Lytechinus pictus: one gene and its partner. The protein of the gene in region 1 binds, or shares a complex with, the protein of each later gene. Links are inferred from orthologs where the notes say so. Each region holds a gene or a part of one and is shown on either strand. Other genes may lie near its edges.

Region 1 (7,544 bases):
AGACTCCAAACCGACCAATGATTTGTACTTCTTTTGTCGGTGTGGAGTCGGTTTGAGTGTGGCAGAACTCACCATGTCTGTACGGGTCATATAGAGACATGAACGCAGAGCCTGCCGTCAGTAGCACCTTCTGTAATGGAGTAGTGGGAGTGTGCTGTTCGTACAGTAAACCATCAACGTTTGGATCACTTCTCTGGCCATGGCTGCCACCAAGTGGTGTACCTGGAAAAACTGATAAGGAGAGAAAACAAAAATCCCGACAACTTTTCAACAAATTTTTTTTTTAAAGGTTGTCAAAGAAGAAAGTCCCTGCCAAGAAGTTGACACCCAAGGCGGCAACCAAGATGCCAGTAGCCAAGAAAGTGAAGGTTTTGAACCCAAAGAAACATCTGACAGGAACTACAGTGCTTCTATCTTTGTAATAAGTTACTGGTTATTAGGCCTACTGGTTATACAGCGTTCCTACATATCATATGGTAAAAAATCATTGAAATGTATTTTTTTTCCGAAAATTGGAAATGGTTTTTATTGTACCTTCGATTTATATCAATAGACAAATCATTTCACCCCTGTTCCTAAAAAAACAAAAAATATCACGAAACATTAAGAAAAATTAAATTTATGCATTTTATCTTACATAACATATGGGACAGCTGCTTATATATCACATCACATATCCAAAACTTAAAGGTCAAGTCCACCCTAGAAAAAAGTTGATTTGAAAAATAGAGAAAAATAAAAAAAGTACAATACTGAAAATATCATCAAAATCGGATGTAAAATACGAAAGTTATGACATTTTAAATTTTTGCTTATTTTTCACAAAACAGTTTTATCTATGCACAACTCGGTGATATGCAAATGAATGAGACAATGATGTACCTCACTCACTATAACTATTTCTTTTATTTTTTGTTTGAATTTAATTCTATACAATATTTCAATTTCTACAGATTTGACAATAAGGGCCAACTTGACTGAACCATAAAAGGATTTTTTTTAAATGAAATGTGCATATATGTGCAGGGATGAATGCCACTTTGTTTCATTGGAAAATAATGAGAAAATTAGAATATTTCAGATAATAAAAAATACAAAAGAAATAGTGAGTGGATGACATCATAGGTCATCTCATTTGCATACCGACCATGATATGCATATAACTATTTTGTGAAATTAAGCAAGACTTCAAAATATTAAAGACAATTCCACCCCAACAAAGAATTGATTTGAATAAAAAGAGAAAAATCTAACAAGCGTAACACTGAAAATTTCATCAAAATCTGATGTAAAATACGAAAGTCATGACATTTTAAAGTTTTGCTTAATTTCACAAAAAAGTTATATGCACATCTGGTTGGTATCCAAATGAGGGAACCAATGACATCTGTCACTCACTATTTCTTTTGTATTTTCTTATACGAAATAACAAAAATATTCCTATTTTCTCCTCATTGTCCTGCGAAACAAAGTTTTATTCCTCACTGAACATGGGGAATTACCATTGTTTAACATTTTATTGTTTAGTCAAGTTGGTCCTTATTGTCAAATCTGTAAAAATTGAAATATCGTATAATTCAAACAATAAAAAACAAAAGAAATAGCGAGGGACAACATTGATTCTTTCATTTGCATGTGACTAAATTAATTGTGCAAAATTGTGATGAAATTTCCAGCATTATGATAAATCTGATTTTCCTCTATTGATTTAAAATTTAAATCAACATTTTTTTTTTGAGGTGGACTTTCTTATTTTACATCCGATGATGAAATTTTGCCGATTTGATTTGATTTGCCGAATTTCAATCTCGTCCACTCCTTCGATCGAATGATGAGGTGTGGTGTATTGTGGGTGACCGTCGACGGCTAGTTCTCAAGGTACCCGTGCGCGAGGTTTACCGTGATTAGAGCCGTCGATCGGCAGCGCATCGATAGAACTTGATGAGCGTCACGATACGAACGCGAGCATATTATTATTGGAAAGTGCCATGGAACATGCAGCTAACAAGACAAAATAAAATAAGTTATCAAACACGAATTTATTACCAACATCTGCTCAGATTCGATATAAAAAAAAGCAAATAATACTTAGAATTTACTCATGATATGATATAAGAAGAAAAAAATCAAAAAAATTTGTTCTTACATCATTAGAATCAAGGATATCTTTGCCCGTCCGGCGCGCGTCCGGAATCATGATGTAATTTGTCGCGCATGAAAATAATTGTTTTTCGTGGAGGGGTATGCGGCAAGTGCGATGCAAAGAAAATGGTTGGTAAATATAAAATAATTTTATCATATTCATAATTTTCATAATATTTGGAATAGCAAGTGTGAAAATTTCTTGATTGTATTTCCTCTAGTTGTCATTTTTAAAGCACTGAAATAAAGGTGTCCGGTAATAGGATACACTGCCATACTAGAGTAGACCGACTGAAAAGGGGAACAGCAATAGTTACTCTTTTGCACCTTGCCCTTTGTCTATGTTTTCAGTTTGTTTTGTTTCTGCTTCATTTTTTTTTTTACTTTGTTTCCCTTATCTGCATATCAAATATGAATTCGTATGTTTTAAAGATTCAGAAAATAAAATCATTTTGGATTGGATTGAAATTGATTGAACGTTCACCGGGCCCACGCTTTTGTCCGCAAACGCACCAGCCGAAGGCGAGGCGCTAAGCAATAATTCGGCGCGAGCTTGCCGAGTAAGCTCGCGCTCAGAGAGCGGGCGAGCACAATCGGGGCCGGGGACGCGGCGGGCAGCAGCCGCGGCAGTAGGCCGTTGGCGTTGCGCGTTACTTACCCTTTCGCTGATTTTGATGTAAATTTCGAAAGATACTCCAAGTGCAATTCCTATTTTTCTTCATCCGCGTCGTCCTACTGAACCTATTGAACACAGTAGGTCTATTACAAATTGTCAAGGCCATTTATGTTTTAATAGTATGTGTTTGATGAGTGACATTCATTAAACGGACTCCAGTCTCAGTAAACTCGAAAGGTACCGGTATACAACTAAAGTTATCGATTAATATAGAGCTGTATGTAGCTCATCATTGCGCAATAACGTTTACAAGTCAAGTACTGTATGATACCATGGACCTACTAGCTAGTAGGTCCATGATGATACCAAACTTACCAATCAACCATAGAGATGTATACTAATTACGTTATTAGTATATATCTCTATGCAATCAACAGAGATAATTATATACTAATATCAAGTACCACACAATTAAAAGCAACGGGGGCCGGGAATAAAATAAATCAATTCACTTTTGAAAATAAAGGATAAGATCAAGATGGCTTTATTTCATTTTTCAATAGTAGTAGCAGGCCTACTCATGAGGAGTTTGGATTTAGGGGTCAACTTGAACATATATGCATGCAGCAGCGCTGCCCCTAGTAAATAAAAATAATAATACAAATGCCTTTCTCCAAAATCCTCCAGAAATTTAATTTTAAATGGAAACAAAAGCCTTGCAAAACATTATCGTTTTTTCCAGTTTATATATTGTCATATCTAAAACTTCACTAGGTGATATAATCATGCATAACAGGGGCGGCGATCCTGGGGGTGTGGGGGGCACGTGTACCCCCCCCCCCCCCACTTTTTGAAGCACTGAAAGTGTCCTTTTTACGCACGAAAATGCCCCCTCACGAACGTGTTCTGTGCCCCTTTCACCTGAGGAGGACCCGTTTTAGGTGCAGTGCCCTTTCTCGTATAAGTGCCAATCAATTTTTTAAAGCAAAAATGCACCCCCTTGAACGTGTTCTGTGATCCTTTCACCTTAATAGAAAGACCCGTTTTATGTGCGAGAAAGTGCCCTTGCTTATGTCCCTTGACTATATGGCCCGTTTTATGTGTGAGCAATTAAGTGCCCGGCCCTAGAAATGCCTTCTTGTAAGTGCCCTATCTCGTATCAGTGCCCCATGCACACAAACATGTTCTGTACTGCCCCTTTCACATGAGATGGATTTTAGTTAACGATCGATTGCCCCTTTGAAACAAGAAAACTATTCTAATTTTTGTTTATATGTATATGTTTATATACAAAACTTGTAAGGATAATCCTACGTGCCTTAAGCTATGTGAGTGGCAGTGGCGTAACAGGCGGGGGCAGGGGGCGTATACAGGCCCGGGGACGGAGGGGGGGGGGGGTCTTGGGTCCACACCCAATAGGAAATAAAAGAAATGATATGATACAACGTATTATGAAATGAATGGAAGCAATGAAATGTGTTATTTGCTGAATATAATGGAAAAATCGCAGCTTCTTATAAATTAACGTGATATATCTAGCCCCCTCAAAAATGTTGCCCCATTAGGCTGTAGATGAATCATTTTTATTTGTTTTAAGAGAAAAGAAAAGGTGCCTTTTTCCCCTGTGCCCCCTATAACTTTGCTCCACCACCCCTAGTGCATAAGCAAAGAGATAATTCATTTTTGTTTTCATTCAAGAAGTTAATTCATTCGGTCTTTCATATTTTCGAATAAGTCAATTGAATCAAACTAATAAACAAATAGATTATGAAAGCAAAACAAATAAAAAAAACTTAAAAATGAAGTCAAGCAGTATAGGTGCGACGCCCCTCAAATTTCTCAATTGATGAATAATGGACGTATAGCTAAATAAAACATTAAAGGGGAGAGGGGCCTGGGCTGGGACCGATTTTCTATAAGAGGGGTTCTGCTTCTATATTAAGAAAAAATTGACAAGCAAAAAACAAAACAAGAAACAAAATGACTGTAAAAAAACGCTGTTTAAAATTGAAAGCACTTTGTTTAAGCCCGTCACTCTAACAACCACTGTTTAAACTTTCTAAACAAGTTTTGTTAAAAAGTTTCAACAATTAACTTGTTTTTAGAGTGACTGACAGGCTTAAAGAATTAACGTGGTTTTTTTTGTAAGAATGAAGGTGAATTTGGTCAAACCTATTGTGATTATCGCTTATTATGTGTCAATTTGGTAATAGAAGCCTAATGATATACATTATACCATACCAACTAAATTTACAGAAGTGCTGCAATAATAGTGTAGCACGACTCATATATACTGTTCTCCCCTGTTCTTTGGCCCAAAGAGACTTTGGCAAGCATTAATCAATCAAAATAGGGGGGAAATCCATTTGAAATCTTCACAGCGAGATAAAATTTACTTAAAACCTAACTGAAATTTATGGAATCGCATTGACATTTCTGTTGATTTATTTCACTTATTTTACTTGAGCATGATTGACAATAAATTTGAATAGTTTTGACTTGACATCCACACTTCAGACGAAATGACTCCTATTCGCGATTGAAAGATACCAATTTGCTGCTGTCATATTAAAATTGTCTGCATGTTCAGTTGACTAGCTCAGTTAGTTAGGCCAGTACGTTTGACCTATTTGTGCACGAAAGTTGGGAAGGAAAATGGCAATATCCATCACCGCTCCTCGTGAAAGACGAGTTTGTGATGAATTTACAGAACCTCAACGATTAGTAACACCAGGAGCAACCATTACAGCCGACACAGATTTTATGAGGTGATGAATTAATGGACCAGTAGTAGCGACGGGAACGGCCATGACGGCATTCCCGTGCCCGTGGGTGGCCGCCGCGCTGGGCCATGTGGGGGCATGGCAAAAGTCGAAGTTCCACCGCCGGCGCAGCGGCGGAGTTCAACTTCAAGAGTAGACTAGAGCCTGAATGTGGCGAATACGCGTCGTGGACTTGTCTTGCCTTGGGGAACGGGTGTTTTTGTTTTGTTTTGTTTTTATTCTCTTTTTTTAGCCAAATATTTAAAGCAAGGCAGAAGTTTGGACGTAAGACTTTGTTTCTGAACTCGCATGACCATGTTCAATCTTCAAAATGCTACCCAACATGCCCAATTTTGATAATGATTGTAAATTAGTATTTTTCATTTTTTGTCAAAACAAATTGTGATCCATTATGATTCACCATTGTCATTGATTGGAAGAAAAAAAAATAGCCAAGCCTGTTCAAAGACATAGCAACATAATCAGTGTAATTATGTGTAACTGCACATACCCGGCCCTGAATTTGTCCAACAACAGTTCATTTGAATAAAAAGAATAAACTAGGGACTAGCTTCTAACATAATCTAAGACTAAGTTCAGAAAATAATATGGTTAGGTAGGACAACGAAAAAAACAAAATGGCATTTCTACTAAAAAAGCATTACCTATTAGCATCATTGTCAAAGACATTGCTCAAAACTTACCATAAAATTTCCTACATAGTGAAAAATAAGGCTTAATAGTTAAATGCCCTATAAAATGTGTCTGGAAATGCATTTTGGCCCATCCCCATATTAGTTTAGCCTAGGCTATAAGCTGTGTGGGCTAGTGGCTGAAAATTGGCATTTTTAAGTCTTTATGCTGACCTAGACTGTTTGAGCCTCTGTGAGCTGCCATGGAAACATGTCACATTGATAGATAAACCACTTGGCTACCAGAAAATGTGAAGATGTTGCTACCAACGTTCTCGCCAGTGTAGAACACACGCGTCGCATGCGACACACGTAAATTCCACAAGCTCTATATGCGTCACGTGCAAAACGCGAGCGACACAGGCAAAAAAATAAATTAAAAAAAATTTTAAAAAATCATAAAAAGTGGGGAAAAGTCATCGGAAATAATTGTTGCATCATTCATCATCAATCCTCAAAAGTAAAGGATGTTTCAGAATCATTTCGGCAACAGACAAACTACGATGTTATTATTGATGACCGGAAAATATCCATGCGTAGAAACTGGCGCATTTCCACTTCCAGCCGGCCGGCGAGCCAGCCAGCCAAGCCTGAGCAGCCACACTAGCGTTGCCAGCGCGCCTAGCTGAGCCGGACATGCATGCTACAATGTATGTTAGAACTGAATTGTCCGCGGTGCGACCTGGGTCCGACGTAGCCTTTCATTTTTACATGATACCGTTTTCTGATAGTTTTCAAGAAATTTTTATCATAAAATGAATTGTTCCTCATAATTTTCCCGCTAATTACTTTCTAAGTAATATTCTTAACGTTCATTCTCAATTTCTCATGTCATCTGCTGTCATGTCACAAGTTACTCACAATGAGTGTTGGCTAGCTTGCTGGAAATGGGGCTTAGGGCGACACGTGTGTGCATGAATTTGTCAAAGGAGAAAAACAAGATCCCGGGCGCGGGAGCGAGATGTAAAGTTAATGTTATTTGTTTGACGGCTAATTGCTTGTTTTTAACGTTTATTTTTCATTCTTTCATCTAAAACAGACTATAATTTATTGTATTGTTTTTTACATGTGTGTACAGTTTCTTCTATTGATTAATAATCTAGTGGCGGGGGGGGGGGGGGCATGAGACCGCATGATCGACACATCGATTAGAAATATCTAAAAATAGATTTTTTAGGTATTTCTAATCGATATGTCATGCCAATGTGTATTTGGAAAATCTCTTTTTCATGTTGATATTTGACACTGGAAAAAATAAATATGTTGAATTTATTGTAGAATTAGTTTTTATTCTTAATGCATATTATAATCATCATCAATGTTATTTATAAT
Region 2 (7,963 bases), on another chromosome or scaffold:
AGTGGCATGATTTTTTTTCTCATTTCAATCATGATCTGTTTTGAGTGAAATTAGTTTGTGTATTGCAGTGTAGATATCATAAGGTTAAATTTGGTTCAATTCTGGATGCAGGAACCTCTGTTCCTCTACGTCTAGCTCACTGTGACGTCTAAAGAATTGGCGCGGTCCGGGGGAGGAACCTTATAATCAAATTTAAATTATGCATTACGCCACCAAAAGTAAATCCTCTTTTCAAATTGTAATACATCCTTAGACTCCAATACAAGCTCGGGAAGACTATTCCATAAGTTACAGATTCTCAATGTAAAAAAAGTTCTTATGTGTATTCTTGTTTAATAGCTTTCATCTTGAAAAGCATGTGCACATGACCCATTGTACTGGTAAAAGAATTAAGTTGCAGACATGGGGTAACATCAGGGTCATATTTGTGGAGAATGTCTCTATCATGTCACTCCTAGCTGGTCTATAAACAAGAGTAGGTCATCTCTGCACATTCTCAAGTGCATCAATATGTTTTACTTTGTATGGATTCCACACAGCATGGCCATACTCTAGATGAAGCCGAACCACAGCCTTCAAAAGTCTCTTAAACATATCTTCATCCAGAAAAAAAAGACCTCCCTACCAAGCCTGCTAGCCTGTTAGCTTTTGAAACAATTTTCTGTGCGTGATCATCAAATGAAAGTACGCCATCTATTTCTATGTCCAGGTCCTTCATCAAATCAACATGCTCTAGATTACACTTACAGTGGCGGTCTTTGAGTGTAATTACACTCTAATCTACGCCCGGGCCCAGATCAATAGAGTGACCAAGCCAGAACAATAGCAGAACAATTGTTCTAGCTCGAGTGTAATCTCTACCTTTCTTTAAATGATATGATATCAAAATTTATTAAGGTAAAAATTTGAACAAATATCTGTGGATTTTGTACAATGGTGCTTGAAAGTCTGACTACTCTGGCAGCTTTTTTCAACCTTATAGCTTTCATCTTGAAAAGCATGTGCACATGACCCCTTTTCTGGTAAAAGAATTAAGTTGCAGACATGGGGCAACATCAGGGTCATATTTGTGAAGAATATTAAAGGTCTCTATCATGTCACTCCTAGCTCGTCTATAAACAAGAGTAGGCAAATATAGCTTCTTTAGTCTCTCAGGATGAGAGCCCTTTCAAAGATGGGACGCAGCGAGTAGCTTGTCTCTGCACATTCTCAAGTGCATCAAGGTGTTTTACTTTGTATGGATTCCACACAGCATGGCCATACTCTAGAATCTTGATGAGGCCAAACCAAAGCCTTAAAAAGACTCTAAAACATATCTTCATCGATAAAAACAAATGACCTCCTTACCAAGCCTGCTAGCCTGTTAGCTTTTGAAACAATTTTCTGTATATGAGCATCAAATGAAAGTACGCCATCTATTTCTATGCCCATCAAATGAAAGTACGCCATCTATTTCTATGCCCAGGTCCTAAGTTCATCGAATCAACATTTACACTTGAATCTACACTCGGGCCCAGAACAATAGAGTGACCAAGCCAGAACGATAGTAGAACAATGGATTCACTGGACCATTTCCTTTGTTCTAGCTCGAGTGTAATCTCTGGTGCTCAAAGATTGCTGACTGGGTCTGTATATAGGCCTACAACGCTACCTTTCTTTAAATGATACGATATCAAAATTTATATCTATAAAGGTAAAATTTTGAACAAATATCTGTGGATTTTGTACAATGGTGCTTGAAAGTCTGATTTACTCTGGCAGCTTTTTTAAACCTTATTGAGATCCCAATGTCCCCTAGTCTATTAATTAATGATTATCTTAAGACAGTGCATATATATCTGTGTGTGGCTGTGTGGAAGGCTTGTGTTCTCACCTACGCTTAAACCAGTTTAATGTGGCAAAGTGAGAGGTGATTTTCCAAGGACCAAGCTGGTTTGGAAGATCGCCTTCCACTTTCGATACCACTTTGACTCTTTGAGAGTGCGTACACATCCGGCAATAGTACACATTAAATTGGTTTCCACTTAACTTATTTAAAGGTCAAATCAACCCCAGGAAAATGTTGATTTGAATCAACAGAGAAAAATCAGACAAGCATAATGCTGAAAATTTCACCGAAATTGGATGTAAAATAAGAAAGTTATGACATTCTAAAGTTTCCCTTATTTTTCAAAAAATAGTTATACTAGAGCGATGCACAATTTAGTCACATCACATGCAATTGAGAGAGTCGATGATGTCCCTCACTCACTATTTCAATTGGTGAGGGACATCATCGACTCTCTCAAGTCTCATTGCATGAGACTATATTGTTGTAGTAGCGATGTAGTAGCGATGTACCCCTCCCCCAATCTATAATTGTGACGTCACCGGCCATGCTGCGGTGGATTTGACTAGTTATATGGCTGACTGGCAGAACTTGAACTTGGACAACGCTCCTCAGAAGTCATATTTTGCCTGGTGAGTTTGTTGATCCCACCCCTATTTATTTACATAATTCTAATCATCGAGCAGTGGTGTTCATTAACTGACCCCAGCTGCTTTATTGTAAAGAACAAGCATGACAAAAAAGTCAAAAGAAATAGTTCTGTATTTCTTTTGACGTTTTGTCATACTTGTTCTTTTTTGTTTGAATTATACAATATTTCATTTTTTTGCAGATTTGACAATAAGGACCAAGACTGAACCATAAAATGTTAAAGAATGGTAATTCCACATGTTCAGGGAGCCTTTGGTAAGTAGACGATAGACTCTAGTCTAATCACCACCCGCACTGGATTGGTATCAGCGGCCTCGCCACTCATCCGTACGCCGTTTCTAACGGGCTAGCTACTACTGCTACCGGTACCGGTACTGCGAGTGCGAAGACGGAAGGTTTGGCTGCCGGCTGGTACTCGACTCGTCTCGGACAATCGACAATTAATCGGACTTTATGAGGTAATGACTTTCGTCTTAAACCGTGAAAAATATCTACATAATTTTATTTTTCATTTCTTTAAATATGAACAATACAAGAATATAAAAACAAGCAACAACATACCGAATAAATTAGAGTCTCGCCGCTCCCTCGTCCGGTCTTGTAATGATTACAAAATTCTATTATGTAAGATAGACTGTACGCATGCGCAAATTAAGAGGGTATTCCCCTTGCTCAAACTTCAGAGGCGGCAGAAATTAGCCCCCGCCCCCCCCAAAAAAAAGTTTGACCCCGGTTTATTTCCAATTCGTCTAATGCCAATTCGTCCAATTGCCAACTCGTCTACTACCATTTGGTCCATCATCAGTTCGTCTACTCACCACATGGTCTACTTTCATTTAGTCTATAATGCCATTCCGTCTAATAACAATTAGTTGGTCCAATAGCCATTTAGTCCATATACTATTTGGTCTAATTAAACTTAAGTGTTCATTGTGCAAAATGAATGATAAGAAAATGGGTATTAGACCAACTGGTTACGAAATGGTAATAGACGAAATGGTGATTAGACGGAGTGATGATTGGAGCAAATGGTTATTAGACCAAATGGTTGTTAGACGAAATGTTGATGGACGGAATGGCATTAGACTAAATGAAGGTAAACCATGTGGTGAGTGGACGAGTTGGCCGGCATTAGGCGAATTGGCAATGCCCAAATTGCCCCGTATGCCTTTACATGAAAATGAGAAAGGCATCAATTTTTTTTCCAAGTCACCATTCTGTCTTTACCATCCCCCTACCATCCTCATTCCCATTCAAGGGCCCCGTCTTACAAAGAGTTACGAATGATCCAATCAATCGCAACTATGGAGAGCAAGTAAAGTAAATAAAATGCATGTTTGCCCCCCAAAAAATCTAGATATGAATGTATATCCATAAATTAATTGATTTCTTGACAGTTCGGTGTGTTCTCGTTTGTTTACAAAGAACATTTTGCACATTTCCTGTAGAAAAAATGACACTGATGGATTTCCATAGAGTTACGATTGATCGGATCAATCGCAACTATGGACGGCCAGCAACGTCAACAACTATTATGCATGTTTTTTCAAAATATTTTCTAGCTATGATGTATATTCATGCATTCATTGTTTTATTGAAAATTCACTGCGCTTCGTTTTGCATACAAAGGACACTGTGCAAATTCTTCATAGAAAAAATTATGACACTGATGGATTTCCATAGAGTTACGATTGATCGGATCAATCGTAACTCTTTGTAAGACGGGGCCCTGGTGTCCGTCTTACAAAGAGTTGCGATTGATCCGATCAACCTCACCTGTATGGAAATCCATTGATGTCACAATTTTTTCAACAAAATCTTTGCATAATGTCCTTTGAATAACAAAGATAATTAAGCCACTTTCAAGTTTCAAGAAATCAAAGAATGTATGAATTTACGGCATATCAAGAGCAAACATGCATTGTTGATGTTGCTGGCTTTCCATAGTTTTGGTTGATCGGATCAATCGCAACTCTTATATGGGGTCCAGATTTCCAGTATTGTGGAACCAACGTTGAGGCAATCGATGATGCAGAGACCGATACAGTTTTAGGTTTACTGTTCCCTTCATCATAGGAGTCTATTATGAATGGGATATTCTACAGTTTTCATGTTTGTATCTTATGAGTTTATGTTTCGACCCCAACTAAAAAAGAAAGAAAGAAGAGAAATAGGCCCTACGTGATATGTTTTCACCGATTTTATAACGGAATACATTGTATAATGTTTATCACAACAACTTCGAGTCTTATAGGATTCACCTGAAGGCATATTCCTCAATGGTGTCCACTTTTCATGTGGTTTTATTTGCATTATTTTGATGCGCACCCTCATAGCAAGAGGGGGGGGGGGGGTAAAAAGATATTGCCACCGTTCAGATCGGTCGCCAAAGAGGTAAAAGCTCTGACGGATGTGGATGAGTGGGTTATAAAGACTGATATGCGATGCGTGAACCGAATTTTATTCTTATATACACTGAAATTATAAGGACTGTCAAATCATGCTTTAGCGAAGCGCCAGCTGATTTTTTTTTAGATGCCGACCTAAAACATGTAAAAACAGGACGTTTTAAACCCCTATAGAACAAAAAGGGATGCATATCTCAAAAGTAACAGGGACTCTCGAGTGGGATTATTATTCAAATAATGCAAGCGATAAGCGGTGGTTGATTTAAAAATAATAATAATCCGACCTGAGAAAATGGGTCAATATAGGGCTATACGATTATCGTGAATGTGAAGCGCGAGCTGAAAATGTTTGATATAAGCCGACATGAATAATGGCATTTATTTAAACAGGAATTCGTGAAGAAAATGAGGCCCATCTTACAACAGGTTATACGTGACGTAGGCAACTAGTTCGTCCAGCATGTCCAGAGCAAGCGGCATTTCTTTTTTTCGAAAAACAAAATCCAAATTCTAATCCTAAAACTTTCGACAGTCAGAGTTCTGATACGTATGGAAAAGGGAATTCTTTCCCTCGAAGAGATTTCGTTTGTTCATGGTCCATATAGTGTCGAAGAGAAAGTGGCCGTCGTAAAATTTCCCAAAGAATTTCTTTTTATCATCGCTTAAAGAGAACATGAACAAATAGGGTTATATCCTTCCTCACAGCCATGATCAAACACAAGATCTCACAAGTCGTGTTAATTCAATTCAATTGATTTCAACCAATCAGCAAATTTGTTTTGAATCTGCAATATATTTGATAGCATGAATAACATTTGTTTATTCAGATAACATCGATAACTACAATGTTAGAAATCATAATAATTAAATCAATGATGAATCATTAAAAGTATGAATATGACTTCAATTCAAGTCAATTCAATCGTTTTTATTGTCCACTTCCAATACAATTATTTCACAGTTGATATAATAGCATATTACATTTGGAGTATACATACAAGATTAACATAATTACAATAGACAATTATCAAAATAAAATATGAATTGAGAGGGAATGATGACCAACTGAAAAGCATGCAGAGCTTGTACATTAAAGCAATAAAGCAAACTCTTATGTTTTATTGTTTATACTGAAATGTATTTTTGTATTATTTGCCGAATAAGTTATAATAATAATAATGACAATAATGATAATAATAATAATAATAATAATAATGATAATAGTAATAACAAGAATGATAATAGTAATAATAATAACGATAATAATAATGATAATGATGATAATAATAATGATGCTGATAATAATAATAACTCTCAATGCGAATCACAAAGAGATTATCGAATGGCGAGATGTAAACAATCATTACGAGATCCCAAAACTTGTCAGCTGGAGAGTGTTTCACCATTTTTTTTTGTCCGACAAGTTGTCAGATCTTATTACTTCCCTTGATTTGATTGGCTGAGAAGCACTGTTACTATGGTAACTGTCGGGACTCGTCAGTTAAACATCGGTCCTTTCATGAAACGCTCCCCCGATCACTCTGTTCTAAGAAAAAACGATGTAGACATGACGCGATCAAAGCCAAAGCTCTATACTGCATCTCTTCTATCGTAACTATGGATTCTTCAAATTCAATCAAGATGTCCAAACCACAGATCTCGGTTCTCGTCATGTCTACATTCTAAAGAAGAAATGATCAGCTGACAAGATCTCGGATTTCGACATATCTACATTCTGAAGAAGAGATCGAAGATCAGCTGACAAGATCTCAAATCTCGTTGTACCAATTAACATAGGCCTACAGAGATGATGAGATTACAAGATCTCGGATTTCATTACCATTTTGTCATATAACTCATGAATTCATGTTGACATGAGAACCGACCGAGCTCTCATCATGTCTACACTCTGAAGAAGAGAATGATATCAGGTGACAATATCATGGATCTCAGCAGCTTGTCATCTAATCATCTGCTCTTATATCAACTGACAAGTTCTTCTATGTCGTAGTTTTTACATCTTGACATTAAATGATTATCTCTTCTAATAACATGACAAGATCGGAGTTTTGGCTACATAATTTGGATTGGGTTTGTACGTTACTAGAATGTCACATTTTTGAGCAATTTTGGGTCACGGGGGCCACTTACATTGACGTGTGGATACCATGCGCGACCAACAAAAAAAACACGTAAAAAGGATGTCGATAGGGCACGTTACGAACGTATACATAATAAGGGTGTCAAAAATACTAAAATAATGACAAAGGGTATCTATTTCGCTAGGAAAGCTACGTGTTTAGGGTCAAATTTGTGAGGGTAAAAAGACTAAAAAATAAAGGATGTACTTCTTGCCCCAACAGTTAACACTATACGTGCTTAGAGTCCGACTTGCGCGAGGTGGGGCCGTATATGATGTAGGTAAAGGTAAAACCGACGTCCGTGATATATAGAAATTAAAATATCATTGTACTTGTTAAGGGGTTCATTTCAGGGAATACTTGTCAAGGGTATCGTTTTGTTTCCAATACTTGTTAAGGGTAGGGTTTCACACGCCAATACTTTTTAAGGGGTGCATTTTCAGAATATGGAAAATACTTGTTTAGGGTGCTTTCGAGACCCCATGGTTGCGCATGGTATCCACTCGTCAATTAAGTGTCCCCCGGGTTTTGGGTCTAACATGCACTTACAAAATACGTTATTTCGGAACCATGTACCCTCGCGTCGCGAATTCGATCTTAAAAGTTGCGCGAGACTTAAAGATAAACAGTCATGAAACGTCGCGGCGCGATCTTTTCGCGTTACAGATTTATTATTTTGGTAAAGATGTCGAGGGGGAGGCAAGAAACATCTTCATGCAGGGCTGGATAGCGTTAAACGAGCTATCCAGATGTCTAATATCAGGATCTCGATCGTCTTTTCTACATTCTGGACAATTAGAGCTTATCAGCTGAAAATATCTTTCCGTTATGGCAGTTGGCGATATGTTGAAGAGTATGATCAGAACGATTTCAAAGTCTCGCATCTCATCATCTCGTCTTCTACTCATTCGTTCTAATGTATGTTGACATGAGAT

What was found. Proteins that work in one complex are often made in the same cells at the same time.
Region 2: ubiquinone biosynthesis protein COQ4 homolog, mitochondrial-like (region 1) and 5-demethoxyubiquinone hydroxylase, mitochondrial-like share a complex: the UniProt entries of both Caenorhabditis elegans proteins name them as parts of the multi-subunit COQ enzyme complex. The link is inferred for Lytechinus pictus from reciprocal best matches to the Caenorhabditis elegans genes coq-4 and clk-1.

What each region holds. Positions count from the first base shown.
Region 1 is NC_087259.1:10,557,857-10,565,400, reverse strand, and holds the start of ubiquinone biosynthesis protein COQ4 homolog, mitochondrial-like, read right to left. Parts: upstream 3,004-7,544; 5' UTR 2,925-3,003; coding exon 2,801-2,924; intron 232-2,800; coding exon 73-231; intron 1-72. Other genes in the region: exosome complex component RRP4-like, read left to right, coding at 5,414-5,526. UniProt on the Caenorhabditis elegans protein: Lyase that catalyzes the C1-decarboxylation of 4-hydroxy-3-methoxy-5-(all-trans-polyprenyl)benzoic acid into 2-methoxy-6-(all-trans-polyprenyl)phenol during ubiquinone biosynthesis.
Region 2 is NC_087254.1:33,609,426-33,617,388, reverse strand, and holds the start of 5-demethoxyubiquinone hydroxylase, mitochondrial-like, read right to left. Parts: upstream 3,092-7,963; 5' UTR 3,041-3,091; intron 1-3,040. UniProt on the Caenorhabditis elegans protein: Catalyzes the hydroxylation of the 5-methoxy-2-methyl-3-(all-trans-polyprenyl)benzoquinone at the C6 position and participates in the biosynthesis of ubiquinone.